Ovis aries: one gene and its partners. The protein of the gene in region 2 purifies or fractionates together with the protein of the main gene of each other region. This does not show direct contact. Links are inferred from orthologs where the notes say so. Each region holds a gene or a part of one and is shown on either strand. Other genes may lie near its edges.

Evidence for each region.
Region 1: the proteins of AATF (region 2) and NOL10 purify together in Homo sapiens (affinity purification with mass spectrometry; 4 studies listed by BioGRID and IntAct, counting the BioPlex papers as one, with this or other methods). This does not show direct contact. The link is inferred for Ovis aries from reciprocal best matches to the Homo sapiens genes AATF and NOL10.
Region 3: the proteins of AATF (region 2) and NGDN purify together in Homo sapiens (affinity purification with mass spectrometry; 3 studies listed by BioGRID and IntAct, with this or other methods). This does not show direct contact. The link is inferred for Ovis aries from reciprocal best matches to the Homo sapiens genes AATF and NGDN.

Annotation. Positions count from the first base shown.
Region 1 is NC_056056.1:19,750,800-19,754,446, forward strand, and holds part of NOL10 (nucleolar protein 10), read right to left. Parts: intron 2,504-3,647; coding exon 2,330-2,503; intron 2,082-2,329; coding exon 1,834-2,081; intron 1-1,833.
Region 2 is NC_056064.1:13,005,414-13,009,060, reverse strand, and holds part of AATF (protein AATF), read right to left. Parts: intron 2,443-3,647; coding exon 2,014-2,442; intron 1,286-2,013; coding exon 1,148-1,285; intron 1-1,147. UniProt on the Homo sapiens protein: Part of the small subunit (SSU) processome, first precursor of the small eukaryotic ribosomal subunit.
Region 3 is NC_056060.1:21,271,464-21,274,066, reverse strand, and holds the end of NGDN (neuroguidin), read left to right. Parts: coding exon 1-51; intron 52-139; coding exon 140-308; intron 309-1,035; coding exon 1,036-1,192; intron 1,193-1,332; coding exon 1,333-1,390; intron 1,391-1,839; coding exon 1,840-1,859; 3' UTR 1,860-2,005; downstream 2,006-2,603. UniProt on the Homo sapiens protein: Part of the small subunit (SSU) processome, first precursor of the small eukaryotic ribosomal subunit.

The DNA.
Region 1 (3,647 bases), on a different chromosome or scaffold from region 2:
TAACGTTACCGTGTGACCAGCAGTCCCACTCCTAGGTATGCACCCGGGAGAAATGAAAGCATATGTCCATGCAAACACATATACAGATGTTCACAGCAGCACTGAAAGGTTGAAACACCAAGCATACCCATCAACTGATACATGGATAAATAAAATGCAGCATTACCCATACCCTGGAATAAAGCTGAATGGAACAGACACATGCTACCACATGGATGAACATTAAAGACATCATTCCAAGTAAAGGCAATGGGACAAAATGCCACATATATGATAACATTCACATGAAATGTCACAAAAGACAAACCTATAGAGCTAGAGAACAGATCAGTGGTTGCCTGGGGGTGAGATGAGATGGAGTAAATGGGCGTGAATACTGACGGATGGGGTAAGGAACTCTGCTTGTGGGGCTGTGACGAAACGCTCTAAAACTGACTCTGGCGGTGGCTGTCCAACTCTGTGACTATACCAAAAACCAGTGGACTATGTACTTTATGTATGTGATAGTTATGTAAATTACATTTAAAGAAACTTGTTACCAAAAAAAAGTGAGGTTGGTAGGTAAAGAAAATCTTCTCATGAGATATTAAACCTATTACTAGATTGTTTGTCTACTGATGTATCTTCTGTTAGGCACAGCCAGAATTTCTAGATGCTCCTGGATCTAAGTTGAAGGATTCCCTCAACATTTTGTGCCTCAGACATTCGCTAGAAACTGGCAAAATAAAGATGAATGGGCATCTCTCCATTCCAGAAACAATTCAGTCTATCTATCAATGTCCTCCCCACCTTTCCCCTCTTCTTCTGTCTGAAAAAGCACAATTTTCAAACCAGGAAGCTGGGGGTTAGAAAAGCACAGGGCACAGAACTGGAACAGCCCCTGTCTGATGCCTCATCTGCCTTGCTTGGCACCCCCCGCCCTTTCCCCTTGGCCTCCCAGACCTTTAGGCTCTTCTTACAAGATTGTCTACTCTATTACATCCAGATCCCGTATATCAACACTCGGCCAAGAAATTCTCAAAGCAGAGAATTTCATGTGACTCTCATGTGACTTAGAGCTTATAAACACTGGGGGCTTAAACACCTAACTCCTTACTTAGACACCTGACAACTGAGACTGTTCAAATAATACCATTTCTTTTTAACGATGACTTTTTAAAATTTTTACTGTAGTAAAATATTTAACCATAAAACTTACCATTTTAACTATTCTTCAGTGAACAGTCACACTGTTGTGCAACCATTATCACTATCCATTTCTAGAACTTTCTCATCATTCCAAATGGAAACCGCATAGCTCATTAAGTGGTGTCTCCCCAGGACCCAACCCTGGCAACCACCATTCCACTTTCTGTTCCTGTGTACTCACCTATTCCAGAATACCATTCTTTCTGATCTCTTTGTTTTCCTACATAAAGCTAAAAAAATTCCTGGCAAATTTTCCAAGTGACCTTTTAAATACTCAGATAAGCTACGATGAGAGTAAACGTAACTGAAATATTTTAAAAATAACTTTTTGTGAAAAGAAGCTGTTACCTCTACAATTGCCACCATCATTTTTAAGAGTGTGGGTTTTGCAGAATCAAAGTGCTCTAATGTACGTATTTACCAATACTCCTGGGGCTACACCCTGCATCCTACTCTATGTAAACTATGCCTCAAAAAGTTGTTCAGAATCACTACAGTAAGGACCAGTGTATGTCCCCTCTGGCCTCGAGCTGCTACTGTCACATGAACTCCAAAGATCAAGATGACCCCTTGAGGGCACAGGGCCAGCCAGGAAGAGCAAGGCTGGACACTGAGCAAGCCAGGATCAGGGGCAGCATTACTCACTTCATCAGCTTCTGTTTTGTGGCTGAATCTTTGAAGCTTCTGAATTCCTCGCCAGCTTTGATCTCATAGAACTGCGGCTTGAGGACCGTCTGCTGATCCTCCCGGAGCTGTTCCTGCCTCTTCACTTTTTCCTCCTGTTGGAGAAGCCGGCGCTGTTTCCTGACCTCTGCGACCCAGTCTTTTTCATCATCTGAACTCTCAGAACTTTCTGCATCACTTGGTTTTCCTTCCGGTTCTTCCTCCTCTTCCTGAAAATAAAAATAGTTAAGAAGCAGCTCCTTTCCCTCTGCCAAAAATATCGACCCGTTATTTCCTTTTAAATAGCATTAACCTATCAGAGTCTGTGACATTGCGTGCATTAGAAAAAAGTCTTTAATAAAAGAAGGTATATTCCTAAGCTGAAGGTCAAACAAATTATAGCTTTATTCAATGACTCTTCTAACCTATACAGAAAACTAAATATTACACAAATTCTAAATGATAAACAGTACATTACTTTTCCATGAAGTTCCTGTTGTTCTAAGAGTCTCAGTTTCTTCTTCCTTTTTTCACTAATTTTGGAAACAAGTGGATTCAAAAGCCTAAATTCTTCACTTTCTTCGTCTACTTGGAAGTCAGGGTTCTCAAACATAACTTTAAATCGATCATCAGTGAGAATATTAGGAAGGCTCTGTAAGAAAAAGAATGTCAAAATTTAAAGTTAATATTAGAATAAAATCTGCCCAGGAAGACAGCTTAAAAACATCTTACTCAACAATTTATTAAAAAGCAACATAAGAAAATAATAGCAAATGAAGCAACTGACAAACAACTAATCTCAAAAATATACAAGCAACTTATGCAGCTCAATTCCAAAAAAATAAATGACCCAATCAAAAAATGGGCCAAAGAACTAAATAGACATTTCTCCAAAGAAGACATACGGATGGCTAACAAACACATGAAAAGACGCTCAACATCACTCATTATTAGAGAAATGCAAATCAAAACCACAATGAGGTACCACTTCACACCAGTCAGAATGTCTGTGATCCAAAAGTCTGCAAGCAATAAATGCTGGAGAGGGTGTGGAGAAAAGGGAACCCTCTTACACTGTTGGTGGGAATGCAAACTAGTACAGCCACTATGGAAAACAGTGTGAAGATTCCTTACAAAATTGTAAATAGAACTGCCTTATGACCCAGCAACCCCACTGCTGGGCATACACACCGAGGAAACCAGAATCGAAAGAGACACATGTACCCCAATGTTCATCGCATCACTGTTTATAATAGCCAGGACATGGAAACAACCTAGATGTCCATCAGCAGATGAATGGATAAGAAAGCTGTGGTACATATATACAATATATATACATATATACAACGGAGTATTACCCAGCCATTAAAAAGAATACATTTGAATCAGTTCTGATGAGATGGATGAAACTGGAGCCGATCATACAGAGTGAAGTAAGCCAGAAAGAAAAACACCAATATAGTATACTAACACATATATATGGAATTTAGAAAGACGGCAATGATGACCCTGTATGCCAGACAGCAAAAGAGACACAGATGTGTATAGCGGACTTTTGGACTCTGAGGGAGAGGGTGGGATGATTTGGGAGAATGGCATTGAAACATGTATACTATCATGTAAGAAACGAATCGCCAGTCTATGTCCGATGCAAGATACAGGATGCTTGGGACCGGTGCACGGGAATGACCCAGAGAGATGTTATGGGGAGGGAGGTGGGAGGGGGGGTTCATGTTTGGGAATGCATGTACACTAGTGGTGGATTCATGTCAATGTATGGCAAAACCAATACAGTA
Region 2 (3,647 bases):
GGAACTAGATCTCACATGCCGCAACTAAGAGTTCACATGCCACAAGTAAAGATCTTACATGCCACTACCAAAAATTCTGCATGCCACAACCAAGACCCAGCACAGCCAAATCAATCAATATTAAAAAAAAAAAAAAACCACTAAGTCTCAGCCTGCAAACAAGGGATGGCAATCCCAGCACCCCATACCTCCCTCAGCCCCAGTCCTCAGTGCCGCTGGGCACACGGGCATACAGCAGGCAGCTCCAAGACTGGAAGGCAGAAAAGGCTGGAGGAGTCTGTCTCTGCCAGGAGGGATCTGGCTATATAACTATGGGCAACTCACTCTCTCTGGACTTTGGTTCTCTCATCTGGAAAATAATTACTAAACTCCTTTTCTTTTCTAAAATTCTGGGACTTCACAGACCAGGAGTTCTTTACAACTTTTTCTTCCTTCTGTGGTCCCCACCTTCTCCTCACTCTATGCAACTCAGAGGAAGACAGAAGTAAGGTCATCTCTGTATGTTGTTCTAGAAACTACCCAACAAAGCAAGGCATCCTTTAAGCACATGATACACAACTTAAACCAACTGAGTTTAGTCACTTACTGTCTCCCTTTCGTTTTGTACCAGTGGGTTCTCTCTGAGCATTAAAAGAGTAACTCAGGGACTTCCCTCAAGGTTTGGTGGCTGAGACTCCGCACTCCCGGTGCAGGGTTCCCAGGTCCAAACCCTGGTCAGGGAATTGGATCCCACATGCTGCAGCCAAGAGTTCTCATGCCACTACTAAAGCACCCAGCATGGCGCAACAAAGATCAAAGATCCTGTGTGTCCCAACTAAGACCCAGCCCAGTCAAATAAATAAATACAAAAAACCTAGATTTTAAAATAAAAATTTTTTTAAATTACTCAAAACCAAGGGGAGGAGGAGAGCATGTGAGATCAGGGGTAGAAATAAGGAGAATAGACAGAACTCCATCTGTCTTGATCAAAGTTGCCTTCATCTGACAAAAGGGTTATACTGCTATCTTTTTTAACTTAAAAATCACTATCTTATATCATCACTAAAGCCAAGTCTTCTCAACTCCGTGGTGCTGTGAATACAATCCCAGTAGATCCCAATGAACCCCCAGGGTTCTGTGCATCCCAGTGAGGCATAAGTACTCTTACTGTTTTTCAGGGCGCTGGCAAATTCTGGGCCACCTTTGTCCTTGAAGACAGGGAAAACATCTGGTTGAGGAAGCTGATTGGTGGTCAGCAGAGCCTTTTGCAGCTTTATCCTTCCTTCCAAGAGCTGGTCCCACAGTGCTGAGACAGAAAATAGAATTCCATTTCTCAGTTATAAAATCTTCCTGGGGTGGGGAGTAGGGGAGGGACCAGAAATCAAAACAGCCTCTAAGCAGCACGGCTTTATCACAGTTTCATGCGATGGAGACGCTCTATTTATTACAGGAAATAAATCCAGTATCTGGACGCACGAGATATCTGGATAAATCCAGTATCTTGACTTGCTACCTGAGAGAAAGGATGCTACAGCCCAATGAGAGAAGATGCTCGTCTCCTCAACCTTCCTCAGCCGCCCGAAGTACTAGGGCAGAGCCAGCGAAGCAGGTGAGGGTAGCAGGGGTGGGCCAAGCAGAGGGGAATGGTGCTTTAGGCCTCTAGGTAAGTGGGGCACGTCACCAACAAACTGACAGGACACAAGACACAGGAGAGAGCAAGGGCTTCCCTGGTGGCTCAGATGGTAAAGAATCTGCCTGCAGTGCAGGAGACGTGGGTTGGATCCCTGGGTCGGGAAGATCCCCTGGAGAAGGAAATGACTACCCACTCCAGTATTCTTGCCTGGAGAATTACACAGACGGGGGGGCGTGGCGGGCTCAGTCAACAGGGTCACAAAGAGTTGGACAAGACTGAGTGATTAACACACACACACATACACACACACAAGGGAGAGAGCAAACTGCCTAAAACAAACAGACAAACAAAACGGAGAGCAAATGCAGACACTCTGAAAAACAAGCAAACAGTGTACAAACCTATCTGATTCTTCACAGCTCGGCCTTTCTCCACCTCCTCGGAAACTCTGACCTCAGAGAAGGTCATCACCACCCTGTCGTCCTCACTGGCCCTGGATTCGGCCTTGTCTTCCTCACCCGCATCTTCAAAGTCTTCCTCACCTTCCCCTTCTTCCATACCACTCTCCTCCTCATCTTCCTCTTCCTCCGCACTGCTACCAAGGTCGTCCATTCCCTCAGTAAATTTTTCAAAGTCACTGATGCTCTGGACACTGAAGCCCGACGATGTCCGTGAGTGGCTCCCGCTCCTCTTCTTCCAGGCCAGGCTGCTGTCCCCCTCGTCCTCACCCTCCTGATCCTCAGCACTCAGGGCTTCCTCATCAAACTCCTCCAGGCCCAGGCCCTCTGAATCTCCATCTGCAGACCCGTCGTCATCAGATATTTCTTTATCTAAACGAGGGAGGGAAAAGGAAAATCTTGAAACAAACACTTGGCCATTTCTTTCGTTTCACCTAAAGGATCATGGCACCTGTCCAGACAAAAAAGTATTACCGTACTCAATGCAAGTCAATAGCACAATCCCTATCACACTAGTGATGCTTATTATTAAATACTTATTAAGCACCTATTATGAACCAGCCGTGGATAAAAACTAGAGACTGACAAGTAGAATGCAGCATCTGTGGGGAGGGGTTCACAGTCTGCTAGGAGTGGTAGATATACACAACCAACAACCACACCGCAGTGTCGTTAGAATAGTGAGAGATGGCTTCAGGTGAAAGACACCTTATAGCTTCACTTATTAAGCATAAGTAGCAGCTCATCAGACGGAGAAACGGGAAGGAAAGGAAAAGCAGCAGAGACAAAGATCCAGCATACAGAAGTGTCCTGAGGGAATTCCATGGGCAGCCACTGCTTGCAAGCCTCCCTGCCAACGCAGGGGACAAACATTCGACCCCTGGTTCAGAAGATTCCACATATTGTTTGGTGCAAGAAGGCAACTAAGCCTGTGCGCTGCAACTACTGAAGCCCGTGCACTGTAGAGCTTGCTCTGCAACAAGAGATGCTACTGCAATGAGAAGTCCATGCACGGCAACTAAAGAAAGCCTACATGAAGCTACACAGACTCAGCACAGCCATAAATTAATAAAAAAAAAAAAAAAAAAAAACAAGTACATTGAGGTGCAGGATGCTGGGATATGAGCTCAGAGAGTTATTCAGGGGTTTTTGTTTTGTTTTGTTTTTTTAAAATTTTAGGCTATGCCATGCAGCATGCAGGGCTTCCCAGGTGGTGCTAGTGGTAAAGAACCCACCAGCCAAATGTAAGAGAGGTAAGAGACGCAGGTACGATCCCTGGGTTGGGAAGATCCCCTGGAGGACATGGCAACCCACTTCAGGATTCTTGACTGGAGAATCCCACGGACAGAGAAGGCTACAGTCTATAGGGTTGCACAGAATCAGACATGACTGAAGCAACTCAGCAAGAACACAATGCAGTATGCTAGTTCCCTGACCAGGGAGCCAACCCGTGCCCCCTGCAACAGAAGTGCAGAATCTTAACCACTGGACCTCCAGAGAAGTCCCGCCAGGAGGGGTTTTGTCGTCCATGGGAAGGTGTCTAAACTTGATCCTTCAGTAAACGGAATATTAGTTAT
Region 3 (2,603 bases), on a different chromosome or scaffold from region 2:
AAGGAACAGCTAAGAAATACGTCCCACCACGCTTGGTTCCAGTTCATTATGGTATGAACTGTGGCTGCTGCTTCCTCTGTGTGAATTGTGTTTCTCTTCTCTGTTCTGGGATAACCCTTGCTGATTTTTAATCACATAGATGAAACAGAAGCTGAGCGGGAGAAGAAGCGCCTAGAACGAGCCAAGAGACGGGCATTGAGCAGCTCTGTCATTCGTGAGCTAAAGGAGCAGTACTCAGATGCTCCAGAGGAAATCCGAGATGCTCGGCATCCTCATGTTACTCGCCAGAGTCAGGAGGATCAACACAGGTGTGTTAGAAGTTGTTTCTATGCTATAGGGACTTGTCCTTTTGTTTTGAATGAATATGATTAATCTGATTCCAAGAGAACCCATGTTATGTAGGAAATGGAGTACTAAACTTGGGTTAATGATTTCTAAGAATTAGAGTTTTGAAGTACATTATGGGGACTAGGGGAAAAATGTTGTTTTCCCACCCCTCAGACCCAAGCTGTTCAAGCTGAGCAAATGCTCCATGGAGGAAAAAAATATGCATTGCCACTGACTAAGGCTCTAAAGTTCTGTTTCACTATCCCTGCTCTTTATTTTCTGAAGAAAGCAAGAAAATCAGGTTTTTAGATTAGCTTAGGGAAGGAAAGTAGAAAAGCAATTGTTGAACACAAATTTGTCAACTTTGCCTAGGTGACTGTCTCTATAGTCGATAGATGTCAGTGAGGGGATCCTGTTTATGAAGCTGGAATACAAAGAATTTTCTTATGTAATAATTTAAATATTCCTGTGGACGGGCTGTGAGTTCATTTCTGGGGAGGAGGGACGTTTTAGCACAAAGAGCATTTCATTGAACATTGAGTACTGAGCATATAGTATCACCTCAGCAAATACTGTGGTGACTAGCTATGAAATTTCTTGAGAACTGTCTACATGATGGCTGAGTAAACACCTGGGCCAGGTTCTTGGCTGCAGCTTTCTGCCTCAGTGGACTGAGCATGCTGGAAACTGTCTATGTTTCTCTTGCAGGATTAACTATGAGGAGAGCATGATGGTGCGTTTAAGTGTCAGCAAGCGGGAGAAAGGACGGCGAAAACGAGCAAATGTCATGAGCTCACAGCTTCATTCCCTCACACACTTCAGTGACATCAGTGCTCTGACAGGAGGAACTCCTCATCTTAACGAGGTGAGGTGCTGATCCAGTGGTGGGAGGTGACCTTCATGCTTCAGCTAACTGTATGTGGGCTTATTACCACGAGGAACTTGGAAAGGGACACTAATATTGAAAGCGCACAGCCATTCCTTCCCTTCTCCGTGCATCTCCAGGATCAAAATCCTACTAAGAAGCGGAAGAAGATACCTAAGAAAGGTCGGAAGAAGAAAGGTGAGTGAATGGCTCAGACCTGGGTGATCAAGCGCAGGGTGGGCTTTATAAATTGAGATGCCGGCTCTGGGTTTGCCATTCTAGTTCTTACCAACCTCTACAGTGTATCTTCCATACTGGGCACTAATCTCTTTAGATGTGAGCCTTATTTTTTTCTTTTCCAAGATGAAAATCAGTATCATTCACAAAAGAGACTTCTGGATTCTGTCTCTGAAATCCCCATAGCTCCTGTGCAGGCTTGCTTACGTAAATATAAAAGCATCGCTTGAAGGAACTGCTATCCAATGTCAGTTTCCTTCCTCCTTCCTGTCTCTCATCCTGGGAGGATACAGAGCACTGCCACGGGGACCCACTCCTAAGGAGCCCTTTTCTCTAGATGGTCTTTTTGTCTGTCTCTTCGGTTTTTTCCAACTGTCCTTTGCCTCATTCTTGGTTTCCCTTCCTTTCAGGTTTTCGGAGGCGGCGGTGATTATGGGTGTACATACTTAATTTATTTTTGTCATCTGGGATACTTCTAATTTCATTGTATGTAGGTTTTTTCTTTGGAATTCATTAATCATATACTCTGGACATGTGGAAAGACCTTTATTAATAAAATTGATTTTACTTAACAAATTCAAGCCCCTTTTGCACATGTATTATATGACTGGAATCTCTGGGTGTGGGTATTTTTGGTGAGAGGGTGATGGAAAAGGGAAAGAGGAGATCTTGGGGGAGAATAAGAAAGTTTGGCTTTATATGGTTTTCTTTGACAAATATGTTCCCCAGAAACTAGAAATTGGCTAGTCAAAAAATATTGAGAGATTAGAGTAGTGTAATACATTCTTTTACCCCCATGTTGCCCCAAGTTCTTGTATGATTTATTGTTGTGATAATGCAGATAATCTGAAATATACGGACATTTTAAGATTTATTATGTATCTTATGGGGATCCCCAGGTGGCTCAGTGGTAAAGAACCCGCCTGCCAATGCAGGACATGTGGGCTCAATCCCTGCATCAGGAAAGATCCCCTGGAGGAGGAAATGGCAACCCACTCCAGTATCTTTGCCTGAGAAATCTCATGGACAGAGAAGCTTGGAGGGCCACAGTCCATGGGGTGGTAAAGAGTCTGTCACGACTGCACGCAGGCAATGTATCTTTTTGACCACCAGATGGCATTAGTGTTCAGAAAACCTTTGGTTTTGACTGTAATCAAATACTATTAAATGGAAC